Struthio camelus: one gene and its partners. Each later gene encodes a partner of the first gene's protein in a complex. Links are inferred from orthologs where the notes say so. Each region holds a gene or a part of one and is shown on either strand. Other genes may lie near its edges.

Region 1 (7,097 bases):
AAGCTGGATCTTTACCCTACCATCATCCCAATACAGCTATCTTATGATCAGCACTAGCATCATATACAGTGCCCAATCACTGTCTTTCCATTTCATCTCGGTTATTCTGTAATCCCACCTATTTCCACACGGTTCTCCTTCAGCCCACGTGTGTTCAGGCACCCCCAGAATCCCTGCTATTGGGGTACTTGTTTCAGTCATCTTTAACTTCCCATCATTTCTTGCCTCCTGCTACCTTCAACTTCCTTTTTTTTAAACTTCAAGTAGAGAATGCATGTCTCACTAAAGTAACATGATGCAGCTCTTCATGCTTTTGGCTTAAGTTTCTGTTAAAATTACAACCTGGAACTGCACTTTATGTATGTCACATATCAATAGTCCTAATAAACTCTTTATTTTCTAGTGCAGAGTTGAGGCTTAGGTACAGATGGACCTCCCCAATGAAACAGTGACTATCTATTGAATCTTCTTTGCCTTGCAGGCAAAGTACTCACCTTTTTTCACTTAATTTGTGCTACGATACAATATAACCTCTTGGTAGAGAGGCTGGCTTGATGCCCTGTGGATAAGCAGAGAGGAGGGCTCAGAAGGCCCATGTGGTAATGAAAGATGAGTAGTCATTGTGTCCTCAAGACTTGTGCAGAGCAAGTAGGTGCCTTACCTGAATAAAAGGGGCGGGGCGGGGGAACCCCTAACGTACCTGAACTATCTCGAGAGCTGGATATTGGCATTCTGGATTTTCAAGTTATTGCTCATGCTACTTGGCATATAGGTTAGATTCCCAGTGCTTCGAGTTCAGTCTGTGTGTTGTTAATCTATAAATGTCATTCTTCAAAAGGGTGCTGAACGCCTCAACAAAAAGCACGGACAAGAGTATAGTCTTCTCTCTTGCGTATATTACAGACCAAAGTAGTTTGGATCCCTAGAATGTTCTCACTAACAACAACCCTTACTCAGATTCTCTCCTAGAAATAAAGGAAGCTTCTCCGTGTTTTAAAAAGATAGTGTTGCTTTCCAGACCACTTGAAGCTTGAGTTTGTTTCTCGATATTATGAGCTAGGATTTTCATGCCCTGGAATGTATTTCCAAATTTCCAAAATGAGCATGTCAAGAAAACAAAATGCAAAACTCTGATTAGTTTGACTACATTTGGAAGTACCTGTGAAAGTTGAGACCCTGAACCTATTCCCATTGCTCTGGGGTAGAGTAAAATGCAAATATGTGCTGTTAGATTTAGTCCATAAACAAGTATTGTATAAACATATCATATGGCTCAAGGTTAAAAATGATGCCATTAAATTATTTTCCCTTTAAGCATTAGTAGAGTGAGTTCTGCCAGTAGCTCGTTTGAGTCCCCTTGGGAATGCTTCTAATTACCAATATCCTTGTTCCTACAAATACTAAGCCACTAGTAATTAAGCGTGCAAGAATCTAGAGCCCCTAGGTGATAGAGGTTAGTGCCTTGACTTAACTTTTAATTTTGCTTAAAGCTGTGTATCTAAGAAATTGTGATTACAATGACTATTCAAGTAACATTTCACACTTAAAGGGCGATCCAGAATACACTTACAGTAGATACCTCTTTTATTCTAGGAGTCCTAGAAAAAACACTTATTTTGCCCCAAACTGTTTCATAGTTTCTGTATGAGAAACAGACTAATACTGACATATTCACTGGGGAGTACAAGACTTAAAAGGCATAGTCTGTAAACGTGGCCTTGGCGGTAGCAGCCTGAAAATTCCCCAGATTTACTTTGTTTTCCTCAGTGTGATGGGAACGTATAGGAGGACAGAAATATCATGAGCCACGATCTCTCTTGTCCTTCCCTTCAGTTATGAAAGCACTGCTTCTTATTTTCAGCTTTTATCTGACTCTTAGAGAAAGTATAATTAATTACCAGGCTAGTTCTCCGCCCCAGGGAAGGAAATTTTATTTGTTTTGAAGCCACAACAATATCTACTCTTGTTCTGCTTTTTTCCGAGGGTAGGCATTTTCCCCATGTTTGAAGCTGAAGAATGACTACATATAAAATTTCACTCCAAGTGGAAGTTGGCTTTTCCATATTAGTGGGAAAAGGTTATGGGTCACAGCCATTTAATGGGTTGTACAGAAGCGCCTATTTGTGCAGTGATTCAGGAGAGAAGTCTGGTCAGTGTCAATAGGGCTGATGTGTCACAAATCTAGACATGACGAAGTCTTAATGATTTGAATGGAATCACTTAAAATGAGCCAGTCTATGCAAGAACTGTGTTAATACTTTATCACTAGGAAATGTGTATTGTAGTTGCATATTTAGAGTATGTATTGTACATAAAGCTATTAAGAGTTTTTTTTGTTAACAGAAATAACTGAAAATGTTATGTGAAGCGTACTTTTAGGAGATCTTAAAGGGCTTGGAGGGACTGAGAAATGTTTTGCTTCATGCACTGGAGTACTCTAGGGGTATGTGTACCAGCTATTGGAGTGTAAAGACCTTGTATGCAAATAGCTCTATCTGTTGGTTCACAATCTCTAAAGGCTGAAAGTACAGGTTTGGGGCCCAAGGCAATGTTTACTGAATAGACAGATAAGTAGAAATTAACGTTCTTTGCTTAGGTGTGAGGATTTGCCTACAGGGAGATTTTTTTTTATAGGAAAATGGACTATTAAATTTGTATTTATCCCTTTTTCTCTGTCTGTCCTCCCCTCCACTGTCCTGATTAAGATAGCTTAATCAAGCCTATAAGAAGCACTTGCTGTTTAAATTAGGAGCTTTGGAGCAGATTAATATTCAGTTTTAAGTGGACTCTATCAACTTGAATTTTAATGTACTTGAGATGGCTAAATCTTCTTCAGTACTATAAACTGCAACTATGAAATTGTATTTTCTGGCCAAAATTCTACTATTTGGTAGGATTCCCAGTTTTATGAGTATGCGGGTTTTTTTTGTTTGTTTGTTTTTAAATTTGAAACTGTACTTTTATGCCCACCTTGAAGCTAGCTAGCTTTTACTTGGTGAAAGGATTGATCCATAAAGATCTATCCACAGCAGGCAGGCCTATCCTCCATAGAGAACAAGGGAAAAAGATGCATCTGGACTTTGATTCCTATTTTCTGTCATAATTATCTTCAACTTTTAATGGCTGCAAAACAGAAGTTCTTACAGCTGGCTGATTGTGAAGTATAATTTTATTTTTTTATATATATATCTAAAATGACATAAAATAATATATAAAATGTGTTACACATGCTAAATTATCCCTCTTAAAAGAATCTACTTAAACTAGTTTAAATTAATTTAATTTAGTTTAATCCCATTTTCCAGAGAAAGCAGTTGAGTGACTTCACTTTTATTTAGTCAAATGAATTAAAAACTAACTTTCTAGTAGCGTTCTGTCTGCATAGTGCCTTGTCTCAGAGACAGTGAGGGAGAATGGTAGCTATAACTAGTATTTCATTTCTTTAAGTATTTTACTACTACACCGTTCTGCAGAACCTGTGGATCCTTTTCATTTTTTTTATAAAATAGAGCAACGTTGTTCCGTGTTTTGTTTTTGGGGGGGTCCTGGGGGGGGGGGTACGTCTTGCTTCTCTGTTTCTTCTGGCCTCAGGGGCCGGGCATGCCGGGGGGCAGAGGGAAGTTTCAAGCGGGGCGGCGGCAAGGAGGGCCGCCTCGGGGCGTTGCGTCCGAGCTGGGCCGCCTCGGCTTTCGCTCTGAGGCTGGGGGAGGCTCCCTCGGAGCCACCGGGGCAGGGACTAGGGCAGCGGACAGGGGCCCGGAGCGGGATTTCCTGGGTCTGGGGCAGAAACGGTTACGGGCGAGGCTGCAGTTAGCAGCAGGTGAAAGCTGCCGAAGCGTTAGTTACAGCGCCAAGGAGCGAGCGGCGGCAGCGTGACCTTTTTGCCCATCTTGCCCTGCTCTTAATTCCCCCGGGAGAAAGGAAACTAAGGCTGGCGGGCGGGTGGCCGTGTCGGGGGGCGGCGGGCTCCGCGTCTTCCCCCCCCCGGCGGGGCCGGCGCCGCAGCCACTCAGCGGCCCGCGCAGCGCAGCGCCCCGCCCGGCCCGGCCGCGCCGGCCCGCCCCTTCTGGCAGCGCCGAGTGACTAATTTCTGTCATATGACTGTGACACCGAATGGAGTCGGGCTGGCGGAACTAGCCGCTGCGAGGGGACGGCGCTGCGCGGAGCCCAGCGCCTCGGCGGCGGGGGCCAGCGGCGGCGGCGGCGCCCCACCATGCCGCCCACCCTCTTCCAGAAGCTCTTCAACAAGAAGCACGGGCTCATCTCGCCCGCCAGGGACTCCCGGGACGACTGCGTCTTCAGGTGAGCGGGCGGGGCCGCCCCCTTCGCCGCCGCCCCCCCCCCCCAACTTCTGCCGCCGACTTCCCGAAGGGGCCACGGCGGGAGGCCGGCGCCCCCCTCCCCCGGCTTCGCCCCTCCGCAAGCGCCCCGCTCCGGGGCGACCGGGAGCCCCGGGCCGCTGTGGCGGTCGCCGCGCTGCCCCCTCACGACGGCGCCGCCTCCTCACAGCGCGCTGCCCCCTCACGGCGCTTCCTCCCCCCGCCGCGCGCGGCGTCTCCTCACGGCTCTTCCCCCCCCCCCCCCCCCCCCCCCGCCGCGCGCGGCGTCTCCTCACGGCTCTTCCCCCCCCCCCCCCCGCGCGGCGTCTCCTCACGGCTCTTCCCCCCCCCCCCCCGCGCGGCGTCTCCTCACGGCTCTTCCCCCCCCCCCCCCCCCGCGCGGCGTCTCCTCACGGCTCCCCCCGCGGCGGCCTCCTCAGCGGAGGGCTCCCCCGCGCCGCCGTCCCGCTCCCCCGCCGTCTCCCCGCCGGTTTTGCCCGGTGCCGAGGGGCAGCGGCGCCCCGAGGGGGGGGGGGCCCTCCGCTGCCCCCCCCACCCCGGTGCAGCCGCGATGCGCGGGGCGGCCCGGGGGCTGAGGCGGGAGAGACGCCGTTCCGCTTGGCAGAGGCAGGCGGGAGCAGCCGTAAAAACGTGCGGGGAAGGGGGGGGGCATAGGGGGAAGAGGCGAAAAATGCGAAATTTTCGCAGCCGCCAAGAGAGGCGTAGGGTTACTCGTGAAATTCGTCGTGATATAACCACGACAAGCCTTGGATCCCCCGAAAGGGGCCAAGCACAACGTTGGCAGGCAGAAAAAGGGGGAGCCTTTTATTTATTTGTATATTGTTTGCTCCCGGAGGACTTTCCTGCCTGTTAAAAGCCTGGGTGAGGGGTGGGTTGGAGCGGGGGGGGGGGGGTCTGCGCCGGCCCCGTCGCCAAGGTGGGAGCGTTGGTGGCGTAGGGGACGGGACGCCCCAGAGGTCGGGGCGCCCCGGCCTGGGGAGCTGCTTCGGGTCCTGCCTTGGGACGTGGGTGGATCTGCGCTGTGTTTCCCTTAGCCCCCGCTCTGTCAGGGCCTAGGGCTTCGCTTAAAGGTTAGCTTAGAAACGGGTAGTTTTTGTGGCTGTACGATAGTTATCTAGATGCTGAACAGCACTTCTGTCGTCGGCTGGAGCGGTGTAAAGGTAACCTGAAAAATCATGCGAAGATTGCACCTTAAGTGCAAAACAAAACCCCCAAAAAACAGAAAAACCTCCCATGCTTCGTTAGCAAGAGATACGCACTTCTTGAAATGCTTCTAAGGTAGTGTCTTAATCCCCCCTGCAGTATCTTGAAACTTGTTGCCAAATGATCAGCCCTTGGGTTGCTCTGTAAAGGGAGATTATCTGACTGATGGACTTAATTGTGTATGATTGCATATTTCCTTAACTGCACTAATATGATCTCAGAAAACGTTTTAGGTGGTTAATAGCACAGTATTTTCAGTGCCACTATTTCACAGAATATTGATGGATCTTTTGCGTTCTTACGCAGTCACAAAACGCTGCTGGACACAACCTTAAGTCCAGTGCGGTAACCAGACTTCACTGGGCAAGAAACTGATTATAGCTGCTCAGACACTTCTCTGTCACTTACCTTGAAGGGTTTGTTTCTCTTTTTGAATGATATGTTTCATGAGGCAAAACTTCTTAAATTGTGTCTCGGTCGTCTTATTTTCTACGCTAGCTTAATACAGGGATGTGACCACTTGACTGGGAAAGGGTGCCGGGGCTGTTCTGTGTAATTGCTGTGCATTTCTCACTCTGCCAAGACGCTTCTCAATGATGAACTTGTATGGAGACTGGTGGTTAATTTAACAGCTGCAATGCAGACCCTGGGGCAGAAATGTGGGGATCACACCTGTGTTGAAAGAAGTGAAAGTGAGTACTCTCCAATGTCTCTTCTTCCTCTTAATGTAGATCACTGTGCCAGGCAGCAAGTGATCTTTCCAAATGATATGACGCTCTGTCTGCTCCTACCTTCCTCCAAAACGCTGTCCTGTTTCATTTGTATAGAATCCAAAGAGGATGCTGACGGTTCTTATTTGCAAGACTCAAGTATTATTTTTAAGACCATTACAAATGATTAACTGTTGCTGAACTTATTTCATTTTCCAAATGGGGATAGGTCTTTAGTTAATCCTCCCTATGTATGATCTTATCGGATACTGCTGAAACTTTTGGATAATGTGCAAAATAAAGACCCTTATTTGCTACAGCTGGGTTTTTAGAGGTGGGAAACAAGCATTCTGGATTTTTAGTCTCTTCCTGTGTTTTAGGTAAACCTGAAGGCAACAGTCTCATCAATTTCAGAGATACAAAGTTATGTTTGTGTATTGTTGTTATCATCTGCCAGTATTTGGTAATGTCCCAGTTTGTCAAGTTTTTCTATATATGAGCAGTTTACTTTACAGAAGCTGTCTTAGGAAATCACACAAGATATACTGCTTGTTAGTATTTCAGCTCTTAACTGAGGACAACTGGCAGGCTATTATTTATATTCTAAAAAGCAGAACCTTTTCCAACTATTCTGAACACTGTATTTCTGATTGTCTTCACTTTGAAAACCTGGTACTCTTAACTGAGGAGACTAGGTGGAACAACCATTAAAAATACATGAATTCACTTAATATGTTTGGAGGTTAACGTATTTAGAGGCAAAAGCTCAACTGCTCTGGAAATGACATCAGCACAACAGAACACTTAAGGGTGATTTTGGTTCTTTTTTTTGACTATGAATATA
Region 2 (6,873 bases), on another chromosome or scaffold:
GTAAGGACACGTGCACACAGTGCAGAGACACATGTGCCCGCCACGGGGACACATGCACACGCTGCAGCGATGTGTGCACGTGCCAGAGGGACACACGCACACGCCGTGGGGACATGCGCACGTGCCACGGGGACACATGCACGTGCTGCAGGGATGCATGCACACCGTGGGGACACATGCACACGCCACGGGGACGTGTGCACATGCCGCGGGCCCCTCGCCCCCTCGTCCCGGCTTTGCCAAACCTGTGCCCCACACCTGACACCCTGCACCCCACACGCTGCACCTGGAACCTGCTACCCCGGGGCCCTTCTCCGTGCACCCCACAACTCGCCCCCCCGTGCCCTGCGCCGAGCCCCCCACCCTGCGCCCGGTTCCCTGCCGCCAGCACCCTGCAGCTTGAACGCGACACCCCGCACCCTTCCCTGCCCACCCTGCAGCTTGTACCCTGCCCCCCGCACCCCCCACCCTGCCCCCTGCACCCCCAACCCTGCAACCCCAACCTGCCCCCTGCACCCAACACTCTGCCCTTGCACCCCCACCTTGCCCCACACACCCTGCCCTCTGCAACCCCCTACCCTGCACCCCCTACCCTGCTCCATGCACCCCCCCACCCTGCACCCCTACCTTGCCCCACACACCCTGCCCTCTGCACCCCCCCACCCTGCACCCCCTACCCTGCTCCATGCACCCCCCCACCCTGCACCCCTCACCCTACCCCACACACCCTACCCTCTGCCCCCCACCCTGCACCCCCCCACCCTGGCCCCTGCACCCGACACTCCACCCTTGCACCCCCCACCCTGCACCCCGCACCTCCCACCCCCCACCATGCAACCTGCACCCCCCACCGTGCCCCCTGCACCCCACCACGCACCCTGCACCCTGGCCCCTGCAGCTCCCCCCCTGCACCCCATACCCCGCACCCTGCACTGCCCACCCCGTACCCTGCCCCTGCCCCTTGCACCCTGCGCCTCCACCCCGCGCCGGGGCCGCAGGGCCCAGCCGGGGCAGGCGCTGCGTCGGGCCGGCAGGGCCAGGACGGCTCCTACCTGTCCGTCCCGGGCGGCGGGCAGGCCGGGCCGCGCGGCCCCAGGCCAGGCTCGCCAGCGCCCGGCCGGCAGCCCCTGCGCAGCCCAGCTCCCCGCTCAATTATTGATGGTGTCACCTTAGCCGCAGCCGGCCGCCGGCTCCGGTTACCGAGCTGGGGCGAAGCTGGAGCCGGGGCCCTCGCAGGGGCTGCGGGGGGAGGCTGCACCTGGGGAGAGATGGGTGCAGGAGGTGGAGGGATGGGTGCAGGAGCTGGAGGGATGGGTGCAGGAGCCGGGGGATGGGTGCAGGAGCCGGGGGATGGGTGCAGGAGGTGGAGGGATGGGTGCAGGAGCTGGGGGATGGGTGCAGGAGCCGAGGGATGGGTGCAGGAGCCGAGGGATGGGTGCAGGAGCTGGGGGATGGGTGCAGGAGCCGGGGGATGGGTGCAGGAGCTGGGGGATGGGTGCAGGAGCTGAGGGATGGGTGCAGGAGCCGAGGGATGGGTGCAGGAGCTGAGGGATGGGTGCAGGATCCGGGGCATGGAGGCAGAGCAGTGCCAATGACACCTCATCCCCGCATCCCTCCAGCGGCCCTGCGTGCATTCGGGCGGCGCGGGCGCTGCTCAACGGCCGCCTGCACCCGAAGGCCGCTCGGCCGCGCCGGGCTGTGCAGGGCGCAGGTTGGCGCCGTCCCGTCCGCCTGGCGTCAGGCACGCCGGCGCCGCGCCGATTCCCAGCTGGCAGCTGCCGCCGCGGGACGGCGCAGGGCAGGATGGCGACGCCGGCGCTCCCGACGGCCCGGCTGCAGCGGCTCCGGGGACGCCGGTGTGCCTGGCATGGGGCACCCGGTGCGGGGTGCAGGGTGCCGGGAGCACCAGGAGCAGCAGGAACTGGGAGCACTGGGCGCAGGCAGCACCAAGCCCTGGGAGCACTGGGTGCCGGGAGCACCCGACACCAGGAGCACTGGGTGCTGGGAGCGCTGGGAGCACCAAGCCCTGGGAGCACTGGGTGCCGGGAGCACCAGACACCAGGAGCACTGGGTGCTGGGAGCACCAAGCCCTGGGAGCACTGGGTGCCGGGAGCACCCGACACCAGGAGCACTGGGTGCTGGGAGCGCTGGGAGCACCAAGCACTGGGAGCACTGGGTGCCGGGAGCACCAGACACCAGGAGCACTGGGTGCTGGGAGCACCAAGCACTGGGAGCACTGGGTGCCGGGAGCACCAGACACCAGGAGCACTGGGTGCTGGGAGCGCTGGGAGCACCAAGCACTGGGAGCACTGGGTGCCGGGAGCACCAGACACCAGGAGCACTGGGTGCTGGGAGCACCAAGCACTGGGAGCACTGGGTGCCGGGAGCACCAGACACCAGGAGCACTGGGTGCTGGGAGCGCTGGGAGCACCAAGCACTGGGAGCACTGGGTGCCGGGAGCACCAGACACCAGGAGCACTGGGTGCTGGGAGCACTGGGAGCACTGAGTGCCGAGAGCACCAGGGACTGGGAGCACTGGGTGCTGGGAGCGCTGGGAGCACCAAGCACTGGGAGCACTGGGTGCCAGGAGCACCAGACACCAGGAGCACTGGGTGCTGGGAGCGCTGGGAGCACTGAGTGCCGAGAGCACCAGGGACTGGGAACACTGGGTGCTGGGAGTGCTGGAAGCACCAAGCACTGGGAGCACTGGGTGCCGGGAGCACCCGACACCAGGAGCACTGGGTGCTGGGAGCGCTGGGAGCACCAAGCACTGGGAGCACTGGGTGCCGGGAGCACCAGACACCAGGAGCACTGGGTGCTGGGAGCGCTGGGAGCACCAAGCCCTGGGAGCACTGGGTGCCGGGAGCACCCGACACCAGGAGCACTGGGTGCTGGGAGCGCTGGGAGCACCAAGCCCTGGGAGCACTGGGTGCCGGGAGCACCCGACACCAGGAGCACTGGGTGCTGGGAGTGCTGGAAGCACCAAGCACTGGGAGCACTGGGTGCCGGTAGCACCAGCAACTGGGAGCACTGGGTGCTGGGAGCAGTGGAAGCACTGGGAGCCAGGAGCATGGGCCCCACGTTGGCCCATGCCCTGGCGCTGTGGGGGGCACGTGTGCAATGCACACACACGTACACAGCCAGGCACACGGGGGCAGCGCACGCACACACTCACGTGCGCCTACCCACGTGCCCACCCCCACGCCCACGTGCGGTGTGCACATCCATGTGACCGGCCACAACCCTGCGTGGCACACCCCCACGGGACACCCCCATGCCCATGCACAGCGGGGGGGCCACGTATGTGCAGTTCACCCCACCCCGGGACCACGCACACACCCCGGACCCGCGCGCACACACCCACGAAAGCACACACCCACTGCAACAGGCGTGGACAGTGCGCGTTCCCGTGTGCCACACTCGCACCCCCGTGACTGTGCGCGCGCGTGCAGCGCGCCCTCCCGGGACACCACGCACGCGCCTGTGCCGTGCCGTCACCCCCCCGTGGCAGCGCCCACGCGCGAGCCCGCCACGCCAACCCGGAAAGCGGCAAGACCGCGGCGTCCACGTGACGGTGCCCGCGCGAGACCGGCGCAGGCCCCCCACGTGACGGCGCCCACGCGCGAGCTCGGCCCGCGGCGGTCACGTGTCGGCAGCAGGCGGCTGGGGGGGTGGGGAGCTCCCCCCCACCGCCACGTGCTCTCCGCTTCGCGTGCTGATTGGCTCCCCCGCACGTGACGGCGCGCCTTTAGCTGCGGCGGGGGGGGGGGGGGGGGGTGTGCTCCCGTTCGGATTGGTCCGCCTGCCCACGTGACGCCGGCTGGGCCGGGATGGCGGGTCACGAGGCCGGAAGCGGCAGGAGGGGAGGGAGGGAGGCGGCTCCGCCCCCGCCCCCTCCGCGCGCTGCTGGCGCGCGGCCGCCGCGCTCACGTGACCGGGGCGGCAGGGCCCCTGCCGGACACCGTAGCGGCGCCGCGCCCGGCCCGGCCCTGCTGCGCCTCGCCATGGGCTGCTGCTACAGCAGCGAGGCCGAGGCCTCCGACCAGGTGCGGGGCGGGGGCCGGGGGGGTGTGGGGTGTGGGAGGGGGAGGGCAGGGGGTGTCAGTGGGGCGGGGTGGTGTGGGGAGGGGGGAGCTGGGGTGTCAGTGGGGGGGAGGGGAGCTGGGGGGTGACAGTGGGGCGGGAGAGGTGGGGGAGGGGGGAGCTGGGGTGTCAGTGGGGCGGGAGAGGTGGGGATGGCAGTGGGGCGGGGGGGAGGGGAGCTGGGGGGTGGCAGTGGGGCGGGAGAGGTGGGGGAGGGGAGCTGGGGGGTGGCAGTGGGGCGGGAGAGGTGGGGGAGGGGAGCTGGGGGGTGGCAGTGGGGCGGGAGAGGTGGGGGAGGGGAGCTGGGGGGTGACAGTGGGGCGGGAGAGGTGGGGGAGGGGAGCTGGGGGGTGACAGTGGGGCGGGAGAGGTGGGGGAGGGGAGCTGGGGGGTGACAGTGGGGCGGGAGAGGTGGGGATGGCAGTGGGGCGGGGGGGAGGGGAGCTGGGGGTGACAGTGGGGTGGGGGGATGTGGGGGGAGGGGGGAGCTGGGGTGACAGTGGGGCGGGAGAGGTGGGGATGGCAGTGGGGCAGGGGGGAGGGGAGCTGGGGAGTGACAGTGGGGCGGGAGAGGTGGGGATGGCAGTGGGGCAGGGGGGAGGGGAGCTGGGGAGTGACAGTGGGGCGGGAGAGGTGGGGATGGCAGTGGGGCAGGGGGGAGGGGAGCTGGGGAGTGACAGTGGGGCGGGAGGGGAGCTGGGGGGTGACAGTGGGGCGGGAGAGGTGGAGATGGCAGTGGGGCAGGGGAGAGGGGAGGTCAGGTGGTGACAGGTGGGGGGATGTGGGAGGAGGGGAGCTGGGGTGTCAGTGGGGCGGCGAGCTGAGGGTGGCAGTAGGGCGAGGGGAGGTCAGGGGGTGACTGGGGCAGGAGCTGGGGGGGGTGACAGTAGGGCGGGGGGGCTGGGGGGTGACAGTGGGGCGGGGGGGAAGGGGGGCTGGGGGGGTGACAGTGGGGCGGGGCCTGAGGGAAGGTACCATGGGGGTGGATGTGGGGTGTGTGAGGGGGAGGGGAGCTGGGGGTGACAGTGGGGCAGGGGCCTGGGGGAGAGCACTTGGGGTGGCGGTGGGGCAGGGGGACATGGATAACAGTGGGGTGTGGGGAGGGGAGCTGGGGGTGGCAGTGGTGCTGGGGGTGTGTTTGGGGGGGGAGCTGGGGGGTGACAGTGGGGCAATGGGATGTGGGGGGAGCTAGGTGTGACAGGGAGCCAGGGGGCTGGGGGAAGGTGCCATGGGGGGGTATGGGCTGTGTGAGGGGGAGGGCAAGGGGGGGCAGTGGGGGGAGGGGAGCTGGGGGGGCAGTGGGGCAGGGGGATGTAGGGGGGAGCTGGGGGGGCAGTGGGGCAGGGGGACAGTGGGGTGGGGTGATGGGGGGGGAGTTAGGGTGGCAGTGGGGCAGGATGTGGGGGGAAAGGAGCCGGGGTGACAGTGGGGCAGGGGGATGTAGGGGGGGAGCTGGGGCAACAGTGGGGCAGGATGTGGGGGGAAGGGAGCTGGGGTGACAGTGGGGCAGGGGGATGTAGGGGGGGAGCTGGGGTGACAGTGGGGCAGGGGGATGTAGGGGAGAGCTGGGGCGACAGTGGGGCGGGGGGACAGTGAGGTGGGGGGGAGCTGGAGTGACAGTGGGGCAGGATGTGGGGGGAAGGGAGCCGGGGTGACAGTGGGGCGGGGGGACACGGGGGCAGTGGGGCGGGGGTGGCGGGAGGGATGGGGGGAGGCCGGCCAGTTAGTGAGCCTGGGCGGGGGAGGGAGGCCGGTGAGGGGGGGCCTTGGGGGAAGGGGCACGTTGGGGGGCATCAGTGGGGTGACAGCGGAGGGGGTGCTGGCGTGAAGGTGGGGTGCTGCTCGGTGGGCCTGGGTGGGGGGGAGCGGCAGTGGGGCGGAGAGCTGGGGGGGGCCCGGGGGGCTGAGCGCTGGGGCAGGAGGGGTGTCAATGGGGCAGCAGGCGGGGGGGGTTCGTTAGGGCGCCGGTGGGGCGAGGGTGTTTAGGGAAGGGGCTGAGGAGAGGCCCTGCGGGATTTCGGGGCTCTTGCCATGCTCTTGCGGGTGACGCCGGCGCGCCGCTGCCGTCCTCCGCCTGGCGCCGGGGGGACGGGGAAAGGGGGGGAGTGGCCTGCCCTGGGCAGGGCTGGGGCTCGGTCTGCGGAGCCGCTTTTGGGGAAGGCTTGCGGGAGAGGTGTCGCGACCCCTCAGGTCTTGCAGCCAGGCGCCGGGCCCCTCCGTGGGGAGGGCTGCGCGGCGGCTGGGCTCCGACGCGCCCTCCGAGGCAAACGGAGGCCACGGCTGGGACTCGTCCCTCTGGTTCCTTGGCCTCGCCGGCCTCTGGCTGGGGCAGAGGATCTGCTGCGGCCCTCTGGCTCGCGGCTTCCTCCTTCCACACAATAGGAAATGGGCCGGACTTTTGTTTTCGGAGGAAAGGTTTGGCCTTGATGATGTTTGTCACGTGGTCGGAGCAGGGCGCAGGGCTCGGGGGACTGTTTGGGCTGAGGCCCGGCCTCTCCGGTAAAAGCTGTTTGCAGGTTCCCCCCCTCACCTGACCCCATCCTCTTGGGTGCCCTTCTCCCGAATCCAGCGCAGGCTGGTGGCAGTCGCCGCTGGGCTGGTGCGTGGGCTCGGGGCGGTGTGGCGCCCTCGATGGCGCTCTCAGGAGATGGGTGCTGCCTTCAGAAATCCCACGTGCACAAATAACAGCCAGCTGTGCCTTAACCTGCTGGTCCCGAGCGACAGCATCGCGCTGACCGAACCGAGAGGCTGGCTTTGGTGCTTGTTCCTGCAGGTGGTGCTTGTAGCGCG
Region 3 (7,410 bases), on another chromosome or scaffold:
TATTGTAAATATACTAATGAAACAAACTGTCAGAGTACATATTGATACTCCTGTGTGTTCTTAATAGAAAAAAAAATGTTTCGAAGGCTTTAGCAAGTACTCAGGCCTTTTGATTCACAAACGAGTCTGAGCTTGCAGTTGATTTTTTAGTTAACAGAGTAAAATGGATGTATAACACATTTGTCAAATATTGGAACAGTGAAGTCAAAGTTAAGAGATGGTCTTAGCAAAGCTGCTTATAATAATCTGATGGGTTATGTCTGCTCTGCAGTTACTTCTGCTTCATCTGAGGAGGTGGTAAATGAACTGCTGCTGAGCAGGTTTATGCTGGTTAGATCGCTATTAGTATTTCTGCAGACCGGAATAACGCAATGCCTGTGTCCTGTAGCGACGTAGACGTCCCAGTAGGTTACGAGTGAGACATAGGCTGTTAGGTTTCTTTGGATTATCTATTGTAATAACTCTTTTAAAAGAAGAAACAGCTAATATGTTTAAACTGGTGGAAAAATGCTACTTCACATTTAACAGATTAAATAGTTGCTGAGTTTGAATATGCAGTAGCATGCAGAATGTAGAAGGATGATATTATTTCCTGTAACATAAATATTAATTTGCTTTAAATATGGCCTATAAACATTCTGTTAATGTTTCTAGTGGGTGCTTCTCTCGCCTAGTTGTTACTTTGTTCCTGAGTCTAAAGTTTTTATCTTCAGAAATGTCGTCATCTTCCCAGGTTTGCTGAAGGAATCTGCTGGAAAGTTCAGAGTGAATCCTTTTATGAGGAAGGTGCTAACTGAAGAGAGTGGAGTACTTTAATCTTTTCAGATGACCTTTCTTCAAAAGGTTAAGTACTCATACAGTTAAGATACTAGAAAGAAAAGGGAAAAACAAAACTGTGATTTTGAACAGCCTCACTTAAAAACCCCTCAGCTTCTCCAGCTGCTTAGAATTAACTGCTTATTCTTTGGATTTAGTCTAATCTAGAATTAAAAACAGGACAAACATGGGTTCTTGATTTCTCCTTTAGAAGAGCAAGTAGGAAAGTCTTTCAAGAAGTAAAAAATCTTGGCGTGCGATTCTGACATACCATAATGAAAAAAGGGAGGTGATTTGCATCTGCTGAAATAACATCGATATCTGTTCTATTTATGGAGCAGCCTGAGTCATGAGCAAGTTCATTGTTCCCATCTGATGAACATTTGCCTGCAAGTTCTCTACCTGTTTAGGGAAAACGAGATTAAATTTGAATTTTTGACTTTTTTTTTTAAACAGTCTCAATTCTTTTATAAGTTTCAAAGAAATATAAAAATACATAGTCACTAAAATGTAATGGATGCTTTTAAATAGGCAGCAGAGGCAACTGTAAATCATGGACATTTTTAATATGCTGTTGTAATGAGTGCAATACAAGGATTAAAGTGGCCAGGCAAAAATACATTTTTTAAGGTTGTCTGCTCCATAAATGTCATGAATCGTCATCATCCTTTCCTAGTGTAGATCTTTCAAACACAGCAGAAGAAAGCAATATCGGATGGTCAAACAAATGCTTTGTTAGAGGAAATCCAGTCAATATGCAAATTCCTGAAATTGTAATTTTAAAAAAGTACTAGCTTCCTAGTTGTCTAGATCTGTTCAATAGACTGCAGTCAGTTTTGCCAGAGGAAGCTTGGTCATGATGATTAATGATGACTGGCAGCCGCAAGCCCTGGTGCTGTATCGCCGTTTTGCTACGGATTTACTATAATCTTGCAAGCATCACTCATCTCTGGGCTTTGTTTTCCCCATGCACCTTTGTAAACCACTTTAGGGAGCCTGGACAAAAGGTACCACATAACAAATGTAAAACATTGTCAGCAGTGCCATATTTGAAGGGTGATCTAGATATTTTTCAGAGCAAATAGTACAAATGTAATAAATATGGGAAAGAAATATGCCATTATAAACCCTCCTCCCCATATATCTGTTCTCTGGGATAGCTGAGACTTCCCAAGCTGGCAAGAATTAAGCTTGACTGTCAGATTTTTCAGGATTTCTCAGGGCAGGGTTTGCAAGCACAGGCTCTGTGTATACATAGGCTGTCACTGGGACTGGAGACGAGATTGCTGATAACTTTAAAATGCAGGAGTCATCTCATAGATGCTCTTGCACAGCTTTCAGTCAGTACTTAGTGTGACAGAGAAGGAAGTAGAATCAATCACTTAGGATGATGCTGCCAAATTTTAACAACCCAGTTGCATTTTTAAATATTTTTATTGTATGGTGAGGAATATCTTAAGAAATGAATGAATCAAGGTTTTTGCATGTAACATTCTCAAAATACTACCAGGAGCTCACATATGAGAATTTTATGGGGATTGCCTTAAGTGTTGCTCTAGTGTGACTAAGTCCCTTTTTAAATTGCCGTGTCTTGTATTTAGAAAGATGCATAGATTCTCAAAATGCAAAGGAATCTGCCCTTTATTACTGAACTTTTCCTCTGTGCCTTGCAAAATTGGCTTGTATCTGGTTATTTGGGTTTTTTTTTTGACCTCACAAGACTTATATGTTCAGAAACATTAGCAAGTTTGAGTCAAGTTTTTTTTTTTTTTCCTGAGCTCCAGTATTGTCATCCAGACAAAATCTTCAGATTCTCAGCCGTGCTCAGTGTGTAGCAGCTCTCCTTCAGAGAAGGAGCACTGTTATATGTTGAACACTCTTTGAAATGCACCACCGTGGTCCTAGGTTCTGACACAGCACGAGTTTTAAGATAGATACACAGTTTCTGTTTTTATACAGTGAGCATCTAGTGGATGAATCTGCTTTGTTTCCTCACCTGAATTTGTTAAATTGTTAGTCTGCAGGTGCATGGGACAAGATCCAAAAGTATGGGTATGTTTATGGGAGATGAGCCTCACTGGAAAAGTGAAACTAGGCATAACTATACTAGGCAGAAATGGACATTTCAGTTTTTGTTCCTTTAACTTAGATGCGAGGGGGGGAATTCTCCAAAACTGTGCTGTTTCCCCCGATCTTCCTAGAAGATGAGCTGTGGTGCTTACTGGAAAAACAGAACCCTTAGTTTTGCTCTGTGTTGACTGCAAGAGAAGAAACATCCGATTCCTATGAAAATAGCTCAACTTCCCGAAGTATTTGAATGCAGACAATAGTTGTTGAGGTTTTTATTCCGCTGCCATTGAAACTAGCACAGCATCTTGTCTGGAATTGTCCTGGGTGTCCTAAATGGAATTAAACAGCTTGTGCCCGAGGGGCTCTGGGGGATCCCAGTTCAGGTCGGAGCCCCAGGGGGGCACAGAAAAGCACAAGGTTCCCTCCCTCTGGTTACCTCTGTTGGTGCCACAGAAATGCTTTTTCTGCCCAGATGGTGAAATAGGCAAATCGGCCAAGCAGCCCTGCGTGTCCTGCAGGCCTCGGCCAGCTGTAGGCGCAAAGGCAGCGTGGGAGGAAAAGCTGCTGGAGCAAACAAAAAAACAAAACAAAACAAAAAACCAAAAAACCCTATCTTTTAAGTTTTTGTGCTGGTTGGTGAAAAGTAGCTGCTAATCTTGCAGTAATCTCTTAGGTGAATTTTGTAATCCTTACGGGGAAATTGGAAATTTCAGACTCCCTTCTTAGTTTCATTGTCACTGTTAACAACAGGAATTTGTTCCAATGTGTTTGATTTCTTCTAAGCATGGTTTAAAAAAAAATCCTTATATTAAGGATTATGCAAAGTGTGTGGGTTTTTTTTAAAGCTTTTTGCATGTATACTTTCCCTGGTCAGGATATAGTTTCTTTCAGATGCCAAGGTTTGCTGGTCTTGGGGCCACTGTGAATACTGTGCATGCGCATGTGTATAGGTGTACAGATTTTTTCCAGCTAATACCTCAAATTTGTGATTGTTTTATATTGTGCTACTGTAAGTTTGCACAGAGCAGGGCTTCCACTGGCCGTGAAAAGTGCCCACCTAACTTTGACAGCTCTGGAGTCGATTCACTTTAAAAAAAAAAAAAAAAAGTGTATTTTTCCAGTAAGCGAAGTGTTTCCCTAGCAGGGGACGTTCCCGGAATGAAACCCGGAGCAAGGGGCTGCTCAGGCTCGTAGACGAGCACTGCAGTGCAGGAGACCTCCGGAAAAAAAAAAAGAAAAATCAAATATTAGCGGGAGCCTGGCAAAAGGGGCTGCACTGAAAGGGGTCCCCCAGCAGGAAACGGACTTTATTTTGCCAATGCGCAGTCGAAGCTCACGAGTGAGGTTTTAAAAGACTTGTGTGGTTTGTAATATACCTGATGTAACACGGGACTGGCATCAAAATAAACTTATTTTCGGTGTGAAAGGCCGCCCGCGCTGTCTCTTCTCTCCGCCGCCCCCAGGGCTCCTGCCGCCGGCGCGGCCGCGTTTGGCCCCGCCGTCGCACCGTAGCCGCGCCGCGGTCGCGCATGCTCGGCGCCTGCCAGCGGGACGAATCTGGCGCTGCCGCGGCGGGGAAGCGCTTCCGGGGCTGTGACGGCCGCGTCGTCACGTGATAGCGGCTTAAAGGGGAAGTGGCGGTGGCGGCTGCGCAGGCAGGTGAGCACTGCCCCCCCCCTTCCCCCCCCACCCCCCCAACCCGGGCCACCCGCCGTTCCCGGGGCCGCCGCGGCGCTGGTGACCGTTGGTACGTTGTCCCGCAGGGCCGCGGAGGTGGCAGCAGCGCCGGGAGGCCCCGAGCCATGGCCGACGTAAGTGCGAGCCTTGGGGTGGGGGGGCTGGGGCCGCGGCCGGGCCCGCTCGCGCGGGGGGTGCTGCCGTTGGGGCGGCGGTTGGGCGCGCGAGCAGCCGTTAACGGCCGCCGCCCGGCCCGCGCCGCCGGGGAGGGAGGGAGGGAGGGGGGGGGGCCGGACCCGCCGGACTGCTGGCGGCGGTCGCGGGGGGAAGGGGAGCCGCCGGCAGCGGGCAGAGCCGGCTGCGGCGCTGTTCTGCGTGCGCTTTCTCTGAGGAGCAACCTGACGGCCGTCTCTCCCTTCAGGACCTGAAGAGGTTTCTCTACAAGAAGCTGCCAAGGTAACGTGGGCACCGCACCGCGCTCGGGTGCCGGCTGCCTGTCCTGTTTCGCAAGTGGTGCGTTTGCGGTTTTTGGGGGTGCTGTTTTGTGGGGTTTTTGGTGTTTTTTTTTTGTTTTGTTTCGGATCTCCAGTGAAGGTAATACAATGCGGTGGCTTTTGGAAGCATCCTTATCTAGCCTGCCAGTGTCAAACGTTTAAGTTGTTTTTAAACTGTGCCAGAGGATGTCTGTGCGGTATCTGACTCGAGAGAACTGTCAATTACTAATCCCTTTTGCTGTTAAAGAGACATGGTTAATCCGAAGGTTAGTGTACTTTTCTGTTGTGTAAGTGAGCTGGAAGTACCTTAAGATGAAACCAGCTTAACCTTGTACTTGTGCGTTTGAAAGGAAGCCCAGTATGCTTTATCACTTCTCAATGAGAAGTGGAAAAAAACACTCCTGGTGACTCAGTCTCCAAGTCCTTGATAACTCAGTTTGGGGTAATTTTAAGTTACTAGTATCATTAAACAGCTGCAGTCAGGAGATCATGCACAAACACAGTGAAACTGGCACTTATTGACTATATACTATATCTCAAGTCTCTTGCTTGGCTAATGAAACTTTTACAGTAACATTCCTCTTTCTGCTGCTGAAAGTTCCACACCATCTTCAGTATTTTTATTTTATACTCACTGTTTTAATTCTTTCAAGAGACCGTGGTTATTGAGCAGTATGTATTTTACAAGTCTCTTCCTGTTGAGTAGTGTTTTCATGATAGGCAGAGCTTACTGCAGCAATTTTTTCCGTATTGCTTTCTTCCCTTTCTTGCATGTTTGTGCAGAAAAAAAACTCTTTGTCACTAATTATTCTTCATTTTAAAAGGTGTATTTTCTTTGTTTTCTGCAGTGTTGAAGGTCTTCATGCTATTGTAGTATCAGATAGAGATGGTGTGCCTGTTATCAAAGGTAAACTTCAGCTTCTCACTGTGTGCTGCAAAGGGGTGGGTAAAAGAATGACAGACTTTTGTGTTTACAGCTGCTATCTGTGAATATCAGATTTTTGCTTTAATAGTTAATTGTGTAATCCTTTCATCTATCTATGTTTATGCAATGTTCCTGATGATGTAGTCCACAGGACTTTTCTTCTTTTGCATCATCAGTGAACATGGTTGGAATGGTATAAGGTGTTTGTATCTTCAGATCACTTGCAGGTTGTTATAAGGTGCTAGGAGGGAAGTTAGTGATGTTTAGTTAGCATAATACCTTGAATACCTTCTGATCTGTGCTCAGAAGAATTTGCATCCAACTTACAGGTTTTATGTGACTCGGTTTGCTTTTTTGGCACTATCATTTGTATCATGTCTCTGCAGTTCTTGTTTAAGATGTTTATACGTTGTAGGTAGAATAGTTTAAGAATGCAAAGATTCAGGTACCTGAAAATATTTACGTCCCAAAGTACTTAAGTGCCAAGCAGATTTTGCGTACCTTCACCTGCCTTCCTGCAAATGAATGCTTGCTGGTGGAGAATGCTGAACCAAAGCAGCACTAACACAGACTGTGCTCCATAAAGGAAAAGTGTTTCTTAGGAGTGCAAGGAAGGATGCTGGTGTAACGACCACAGGTCGTTTACTGAATGTTAACCTATATACTGCTTTTGAAGGTTGCCCCATAGCAGTTAGTTGTTGCAGAAGTGCTGGGGGACAAATAATGCATCTTGTACACCAAATCTACATTTGGAACAGCACCAAGTTGAATGAGGATTTGTGATGCGGTCATAGATACCATGTAAAAACAAAAAATGTTCATGTTTTGTTTCAGTTGCCAATGATAATGCTCCAGAACATGCACTTAGACCTGGCTTTCTGTCCACCTTTGCCCTTGCAACAGATCAGGGCAGTAAACTAGGACTTTCAAAAAACAAAAGCATCATCTGTTACTACAATACATACCAGGTGAGGAACAGCATTGCTTGTTCTTACTGGCCAGAGCAATTCCTACATTGAGAAAGGAGAGGGAAGGTGGTTTAAGCTGTGGTAGGTTTCCAATAGGCTGCTATTAAAATACTTATGTATGTTTTATTTCTGGTGCTACTTAAAGCTAGCTAAGTTAAACATTTGCGATATTTGTTGAGCTACTTTCCTGTTTATCAAACCTGAGAAGATTTACTCATTGAAACTGGTGAGCTTTCCTGAGCAGATAGTAACCAGCAATTTGCTGCAGGTGCTGTTGAAATGGCCTCCAGAACTTGTTATGATGGGTTAACGTTCTCTTGTACAAATGAATACTTGTGTGTTTATGATCAGAGACACCTATTAAAAAAAAAAAAAAAAAACTTCAAATAAGCACATCCAGCTTACTTCACAGTTAATCTTGCTGCAAATAAGACTTCAAGAAAAGAAAGTTTTGAAATAC
Region 4 (7,608 bases), on another chromosome or scaffold:
GCTTAAAGCTGTAATCTCTGTTTCCCTCTCTTAAATACATAGGCAGAATTTGAGTTTACCAGTACTGCAAGGGGCAAAGGCTTCCTGCAGGATTGGTTCCCAGCAGCATTTGAAATGCTTGAATCTGTAAGGTGAAAACTGGCCTGGATTGGTGAAGGTGTAATCAACATCCAGTTCACGCAGAGCGGGGGCAGGCAGCACAGCCAGGGCAAACAAGTTTCAGTTTGAACTTCAATCCAAGGCATGGTAAGCAAGTAACCTTCATGCAGGAAGTTTAACCAGAGGAGGCTAAACATTTCCTAGAAAAAAATTCCTAGGAAAGTTTTTGTGCCTTTTCCACTGGAGGAGCCTCCCTTAATTCAACTCTTTATGCACTGCTCCATTTATCTAGAGAAATGCTGAGGAAGAAGGGTTTGGAGGAGCTACCTCACCTGGCTCTGGAAACAGCTCCCTGACTTCTGTCAGACCAAGAGGCAACAGTTTTTGCAGCAGGAGCAGAGAGAAGCAAATGCAGGTTTTTGCAGGTCATTTATTGATTTCTCTAACAAATAAGGCCACACACACACACGCGCACACCTCGTATTGTCTGATCATTACACAAGCTTGGCCGGTGACCCACATTTCATTCTTGGCAGCATGACCGCTAGAATGCGAGTTGAAGAACCCGATAGCTGCACAGGAGCTGTTAAGTAAAGAGGAAGAGCCTTCAGGCCAGATTTGGTTCCTACAAGCACGTTCTGCATTGGAGCAGCAGAGGAGAGTGGTTGTCCAGTGAGGAAGAGCTGGTTTGGAGGTGGGAGCGCTGCACAGGTTCCCGAGAGGTCAGGATGCCAGCTTGTGCACTGCTACAGTGATGCTGTCGTGCTTCTGGATCATGATATTCCTAGAACAAAACAAAACAAAAAAACCGACAACAAAAAAGTAATGTTTGAGGCAGTTAAGCCAGCTGCAGTGATGACGAAGCTCTGACTCGGGTGGGAAAGCAGACAGCGGTATCATTTCGTGGCTGCAGCAACCCCCAGCTGTGTGCTAGACCTGTCCTTTGCCTACCACACTGGCAAAAACAGTGGCTGAGGCTACAGGATGGGCTTAATTATCCATGTAGATGCCAAGTGGGGAAGAAGCATAGAGCTGGAGTAGCCACCAGCCTCTGAGAGGCTTCCTGCTGCTTCTCCAGTTCCTGCTACTGGAGATCCCATTAAACTACTGCTTTCATGTGCCTGTGTCGGCATCTAGGCTGAGATGGGGCTTCCTCCGTGTCTGCCAGTTCAGCTTGAGAGGAGGAAAGTCTCCAAGGCTGAAGCGAAAGGCAAAGGGAGAGAAAAGCAGCGCGGCGGATGCGCCAGGCCCGGCCGCTCACCCGCTGTCCGACTCCAGGCACACCACGGGCGTATCGGTCGGGTCGGAGGTGAGCTTGGCTGCCTGCTGGGCGAGGACGGAGATGACGCCGGCGTGCTCGTCGGAGAGCGTGCCTCGGCCTACGGGACGGCGGAGAGGCCGGGTGAAGCCGCGCTCGCCGTGACGGTGCTGTGGGGCTGCTCCAGCCCTTCGCCTTTGCCGCCCTCCCTGGGCCTCATGTCCCAAAATGTGTGTGTGTGGGGGGGGAGACTTCAGTGGGGCAGGGCCTGGGTGGGAGGGCTTTGGCAGGACTGAGTGACCCCAAATGAGGGGAGCTGGGGCAGGACTGGGCCCGATGTCCCCAAATTGGTGGGGGGGGGGGGGAGAGGTCCAGCAGGGCAGGGCCTGTTGCCCCCAAACTGGGGAGGGGGGAGGCAGGGCCCGGTGCCCCTAAATTGGGGTGAGGGGGGGAGGCAGGGCCCGGTGCCCCCAAACCGGGGTGGGGAGGGGGAGGCAGGGCCCAGTGCCCCCCCCAAACCGGGGTGGGGAGGGAGGCAGGGCCCGGTACCCCCCCTAAAGCGGGGTGGGAGGGGGAGGCAGGGCCCGGTACCCCCCCTAAAGCGGGGTGGGAGGGGGAGGCAGGGCCCGGTGCCCCCCCAAACCGGGGTGGGGAGGGGGAGGCAGGGCCCGATGCCCCCCCAAACCGGGGTGGGGAGGGGGAGGCAGGGCCCGATGCCCCCAAACCGGGGTGGGGAGGGGAGGCAGGGCCCGGTGCCCCCAAACCGGGGTGGGGAGGGGAGGCAGGGCCCGGTGCCCCCCCCAAACCGGGGTGGGGAGGGGGAGGCAGGGCCCGGTGCCCCCAAACCGGGGTGGGGGGGAGAGGCAGGGCCCAGTGCCCCCCCCAAACCGGGGTGGGGAGGGAGGCAGGGCCCGGTGCCCCCCAAACCGGGGTGGGGAGGGGGAGGCAGGGCCCGGTGCCCCCCCAAACCGGGGTGGGGGGGAGAGGCAGGGCCCGGTGCCCCCACACGGGCGCTCCGCTACTTACACCCCAGGTTCAGGCCCTGCGAGTCGGTGCACAGGACGCCCACGACGGCCGGGCTCTTCATGCTGCGGGGGCAGACGGCGGTGGGTGAGCGGTCAGCGCAGCCCCGGTGCCTCCCTCCCCCCTCCCCCTCCCCAAAACATCCCCCTCCCCCGGTTCCCCCCCCCCCCGGCGCACGTGTCCTCCAGGTGCTGCTCCAAGCTCCCCTCCATGGCGCCCCGCCGCTTCCGCCCTGCCCCGCCGCTCCTGGCGGCGGCGTCGCTCACGTGACGCGCGCTGGCGGACGGCGGCTCCGCGGGGCCGAAAGGCGTCGCTACGCGAACGCGGGCGGCACTCGCTGCGCTGGCGGCGCGGGGCGGCGGCTCCCCCAAAACCGCGCCCGCTCTGGCCGGCACCTCCGGGGCCGAGAGCCTCCCGGCAGAGCCCTGCGCGACGCCAGGGACCAGCCACCATCCGAGGGAGGATGCGCTGCGGGGGCTCAGGGAGCCGCTCGGAGCCCCCTTAAAAAAGGGCAGAACAGCCTTTTCCCCCCAAATAATGAGTGTGGGTTTTTTTTTTGGGGGGGGGGCACAAACGATAGAGGGAGAAATCTCCCATCCGGATGCTGGCGGCTGCAGCACTGGGATAACTGGGAGCGCTGGTGCTGCCCGCATCTGGGGCTTTTGCAAGGGAGCCCTCCCAAAACACAGCCTCGCAGGTGGCGAGGAGGAGGAGGAGGAGGAGGAGGAAGATTTACAACCAGCGCGTCCGCATTGCTAATAAGGCACCGGCTGGAGCCGCTTTGGCCGCCGCCGCTCGCTGCCTCTCGGCTTGTCAGGGCGGAAAATTGAAACGTTATTGATGGGAGAGGCGAAGCCCAGAAATATCCATTTTTCTCCTGGGGGAGCTGCAAAGGGGTCCGGCGGCGGCAGCCGGGCTCCGCGCGGCCCTGCTCGCCGGGAGCCCGCTTTTGGCCCTAGCCTTTCCCAAGGCGGCGGGGGGTTTCCACCTTGGGAAACGACGCGGAGCAAAAAGGCACGTAGCCACCGGGCTCTGCGTCTTCTCTGCCCCGCGGGGACCTTTGCAAGGAAATGGGCCCAAACCAGCAGGTTTCAGGCCATTCCCTGCCCTGAGACTTCAGTGTTTCTGGCTCAACAGGGGCAATTTAGGGGGTTGGGAGTAATTAATCCAAGAGCGGGTGGACGAGACCTTACCGAAGCGGTAGGACCCGTCAGAACAGCTGCCGCTTCAGAAGAATCGCTCTTCGCCAGCGGAGAAAATTGCCCGGCTATTTTTAGTGTGCCAGCTAATTAAATATATAGACAATTTAGCATCTCACGGAGAGGCTCTCCAGGAGAAATTCTGCCGGCAGCAGAAAAGCCCGAATAAACCCCTCGGGGTCAGAGCGTCACCCCGGGGCTGCTGAGGCCGGTGGCTGGATTTCATTCACGTCCCCAAATCGGCGATGGCAGCCGCTGTTTTTTCAGCGCTTCAGGTTTTGTGGGCGCTCAGCCTGGCGCCCACTTAAATATGAAGCGGCTCCTATTGGCAGCCCTTTTTATTTTAATGTGGGTCTTGACGTGACTCAGTTTCCTCTCCTGGTTTGCTTCTCCTGGGGAACGGACAGAGGGGGCTGAATTCATTAATGCTCACGGGCAGCCTGGATGCTGCGGTGATGGTACCCAATGGCTTGAGGGAGGTGAGGGGGGGACCTTGCTGCGGCCTTGCCAGCAAAAGGTTTTCCCACCGTGGGAAAAAAGTTTTCCCACCAGAAATGCAGCCCAGGTTGCATTCAGCTTGATTCGACACGATTTTGCTGAACAAAAGCCAAAGAGAAACACCGAGGACGGAGAGCGAGGAACAAAAATCAGCGCAAAAAGCCACCGGGCTGCAACGGCACAGCGTCCATCGGGAAGGAGGGGTTTCTAACCCTTTGCACGAACACTGGGGAAATTTTGATGCTCTTTTTAAACAAAACCCCCTTTTTTCAGGTAGGAGAAGGCGCTGAGAGAGCCACCCTGAGTTTCACGGGCCGCTGCGGGAGGGCAGGGTATTTATCACAGGCCACCACTTTATTCCATGCTGTGCACCATGATCTGGGAAGTCCCAGGCTCATTTTTTTTGTCACGTCTTTGGCTTTGGCTGAATAGTCAAAAATTCTTAGTTGAATTCTTAAGTACGTCAGGCAGGGATAAATGTATGTGTCTATAAGTATGCTTGAAAAATCCAGTTGTGTTGGCTTAACTGAAAAATAAGCCCAGGTGACTGGTGATGTTTTATCCCCTGCTGCTTGGGTGATTTATTAATATTTCTTTCCTACCGTTAGCGAGTCAGGTCTCATCTGCTTCTTCTGAGCTCATCCGAAAAAAAAAAAAAATACCCAACTGGCATCCGGGGCAGACGGAGGGGCGTTATATAGGGCGCGAGGCACGGGCGCTCGCGGAGCTGGGTGCGCGGCCGAGCGCCTCGGCACCATGAGGAGGGTCCTGCAGGGCGCCTGCCGCCTGCTGCTGCTGCTGCTGCTGCTGCTGCCGCCGCTCCAGCGGTGCGCTGTCATCACCGGGGTGAGTCGGGGCCCGCCGCCCTGGGGGGCTTCGCGCGTCCTGGAAATCGGGCAGAGTTTGCGCCCGACCGCGGGAGCCGGCCCCGGCCTCCCCCCTCCCCGCCCCGGGCGAGTGCGGAGCAGTGATTTGTGAGTCCCTCTCTTTCTCCCCAAAATGCTCCTCATTTCTGATGTTTTACCTTAAAGCTGTCTTTTTTTTTTTAATTATTATTTTTAAAGCAAGGGACGCGGTGATTTTACCAGCACGCGAATTAACGATTGGCGGTTTGGTCCCAAATTCCAGGGGGGGCGACACCAGGAAAAGCCCGTGCCAGCCGTGAGCGATGCTGCTGAGAGCCGAGGGCTCTGTTTCTGGGGCAAGCTGTTGCTTTAACCTCGCTCTGCAATTCGTCCCCCAGTGCTGCCGAAAGTCAAACTGTCTGTTCAGAGATGTGGAATTAACTCCCTGCCTCTTTTAACCTCTCTTATTTGCAGTGAGCTCCCAAGAAAAAGGGATGGAAAAGTTAGCGACACCTTTCCCTGGTTGCTTCGGGCTTTTTTGCAGGAGTTTATTACTCGCTCTTTCGCTTTTCTTCCTTCAGCAAGTCCGTATTGTTCCTGAATATAAAGTCACTCCGAAGTCTGTTTTTTCTCAATGCCATGTCAGAGCTGGCTCTCGAGGAAATGGGAAAATCCAGGGGTGGAAAAGGGGTCCTGAGGGGCCATGAGCAACCCCAGCGCTGTGCCGGGAGCAAAACGAGCCCCGTGAGCACCGGTCCGGTGCTGGAGGTGCCCCATCAGCTCAGTTTTAGGTGCTTTGGGGCATGATGGCGAAATCTGGCAGTGTTTCCAGCCGCCTGTCGCACATACCCCTGCCGTGCCTCAGTTTCCCCCAGGACGGGCAGACATGCAAACCCCGATGACCAAAATGCACTCCAAAAAAGCTTGGGTGGGGGTTTCCGGAGCGGGGCGGGCGGAGGGGGGAAGGCGGCGGGCGACGGCTGTTCTGCCTCTCCGCAGGCCTGCGAGCGGGACCTGCAGTGCGGGAGCGGGACCTGCTGCGCCGTCAGCCTCTGGCTCCGGGGCCTGCGGATGTGCACGCCGCTGGGACAGGCGGGCGACGAGTGCCACCCCGCCAGCCACAAGGTACCGCCGCCGGGGTCTGCCTCGGGCCGGGACTCGCCCCGCCGGTGGCACCCAGCCGGGCGCCGGGGCTGCTCTCCGGCGCGGGAGAAGAGCGTGGGAAGATCCCTGGGTTGATCCCGGACGGAGGAGGGATGGGGCGCCTGGGACGGGGATGGGATGGATGAAGCCGCCGGCAGCGTTTTGGCCGGCGGCGGAGGGCTGGCGAGGCGGAAACGGCTCCGCGTAGCTGGGAAAAGACCACATCTCCCAGCAGACCCATCTCCCCCCCCCAGCTTGGGGTTCATCCAGGAGGGCAAATCCAAACCAAGCCAAAGCGGGTGCTTGTCGCAAAGCCTTGCGTTTGAAAGCTCCCTGCCTCGGCTTCCCCCCTCCCCGCGCCTGCCAAACTGCAGCGAGCACCTCGGGCGCCTAACAGCGATCTCTGGAGCACGTCGGCTTCAGCCGCATCCTCTAAAGCCCTGCAAAGCCCTGCCCGAAATCCTGCTGCTGCTCCGCGGTGGGCTGCACCCATCCATCAGCAGGTAGCTGGCAGCTCGGCACCCCGGAGATTGAGCTGTGCCTGCCATTTATTTCGAGAAGCGCGTGCCCCGGCGCTCCAAATCGACCCGCAAATGCTCTCTCGAGCCAGGAGAAGCCGAGTTAATGCCTCCGAGGCGGCCCAAGCGCGGCGATTTTGGCCGGCAAGAGGCACAAAACGCGGTTGGCTTATCCCGAAGCGCTGCTCCTGCCGTGGGTGTTCAGCCCACGCCACGGCGATCGATGTTGCCTGCCGGCAGCAAGGCTCAAGGCCGCTGCCGCTCCGACGCCGGCGGGAATCGGGATTTCATTTTGGACCCATCTCCGTTAAACCCCCAAGCAGAACCTAAGATAAATTCTCTGGGCTTAAATCGCCCTTGATATTTTTCTTGCCCAAAGGGAGAAGCGACCCGCCAGCACGAAATCTCAGCGTTTAACTGCAGCCCAGGAGGGAGGGAAGGGAGATGGGCAGACGGGTGGGTGGGTTGAGCAACGAGCGGCAAAGCCTTTCGCCGTCTCCCTGGAGTAAATCCTAGTTTTAAGGAGCTCAGCCGCGGAGTGGCCCGTGAGACACCCGCTGCCGTCAGCACCCCGGCGGGAATGTCCTCGCAAGCGGAGAAAAGCAGTTTTGCCACGTTTCGCCACGTGTTCCCGGGAGGGTTTCGTGCTGCCGCGGTGGGGTTCCTAGGGCTGCCGCGGCGAGGGCGCTCCCCAGGGTCGCGTCTCGGTCCGTCCGAGCACGGGGGGAAAAAAATCTCGCCTCCCCCCCATCTCTCCATCTCCCCCAGGGCTCCAGCATCAGGCGTTAAGCTGGGAAAAAAAAAAAAAAAACCTCTCATTTTTTGCCTGGCCGTGGGCTCACCGAAAGGTGCCGTGGGCTCCCGGCGGGTTGCAGCCGGGTGGACGGTCCTGGAGCCCTGACGCCGTCGGCTCTCCCGTTTCCTCCCGCAGGTGCCCTTTCTGGGGAAACGCCAGCACCACGCCTGCCCCTGTTTGCCCGACTTGACGTGCTCGAGGTTCGGCGACGGCCGACACCGCTGCTCGC

The links.
Region 2: FNIP1 (region 1) and LAMTOR1 share a complex: the UniProt entries of both Homo sapiens proteins name them as parts of the lysosomal folliculin complex. The link is inferred for Struthio camelus from reciprocal best matches to the Homo sapiens genes FNIP1 and LAMTOR1.
Region 3: FNIP1 (region 1) and LAMTOR3 share a complex: the UniProt entries of both Homo sapiens proteins name them as parts of the lysosomal folliculin complex. The link is inferred for Struthio camelus from reciprocal best matches to the Homo sapiens genes FNIP1 and LAMTOR3.
Region 4: FNIP1 (region 1) and LAMTOR5 share a complex: the UniProt entries of both Homo sapiens proteins name them as parts of the lysosomal folliculin complex. The link is inferred for Struthio camelus from reciprocal best matches to the Homo sapiens genes FNIP1 and LAMTOR5.

The regions. Positions count from the first base shown.
Region 1 is NC_090954.1:2,847,822-2,854,918, forward strand, and holds the start of FNIP1 (folliculin-interacting protein 1), read left to right. Parts: upstream 1-4,087; 5' UTR 4,088-4,213; coding exon 4,214-4,302; intron 4,303-6,104; exon of another isoform or gene 6,105-6,235; intron 6,236-7,097. UniProt on the Homo sapiens protein: Binding partner of the GTPase-activating protein FLCN: involved in the cellular response to amino acid availability by regulating the non-canonical mTORC1 signaling cascade controlling the MiT/TFE factors TFEB and TFE3.
Region 2 is NC_090942.1:224,068,219-224,075,091, forward strand, and holds the start of LAMTOR1 (ragulator complex protein LAMTOR1), read left to right. Parts: upstream 1-3,870; 5' UTR 3,871-4,004; coding exon 4,005-4,046; intron 4,047-6,873. UniProt on the Homo sapiens protein: Key component of the Ragulator complex, a multiprotein complex involved in amino acid sensing and activation of mTORC1, a signaling complex promoting cell growth in response to growth factors, energy levels, and amino acids.
Region 3 is NC_090945.1:27,874,981-27,882,390, forward strand, and holds the start of LAMTOR3 (ragulator complex protein LAMTOR3), read left to right. Parts: upstream 1-4,408; 5' UTR 4,409-4,545; intron 4,546-4,649; 5' UTR 4,650-4,688; coding exon 4,689-4,697; intron 4,698-4,984; coding exon 4,985-5,019; intron 5,020-5,905; coding exon 5,906-5,964; intron 5,965-6,816; coding exon 6,817-6,950; intron 6,951-7,410. UniProt on the Homo sapiens protein: As part of the Ragulator complex it is involved in amino acid sensing and activation of mTORC1, a signaling complex promoting cell growth in response to growth factors, energy levels, and amino acids.
Region 4 is NC_090965.1:4,483,354-4,490,961, forward strand, and holds LAMTOR5 (ragulator complex protein LAMTOR5), read right to left. Parts: upstream 2,694-7,608; 5' UTR 2,593-2,693; coding exon 2,558-2,592; intron 2,446-2,557; coding exon 2,384-2,445; intron 1,479-2,383; coding exon 1,361-1,478; intron 884-1,360; coding exon 823-883; 3' UTR 510-822; downstream 1-509. Other genes in the region: PROK1 (prokineticin-1), read left to right, coding at 4,834-4,923, 5,922-6,047, 7,515-7,608. UniProt on the Homo sapiens protein: As part of the Ragulator complex it is involved in amino acid sensing and activation of mTORC1, a signaling complex promoting cell growth in response to growth factors, energy levels, and amino acids.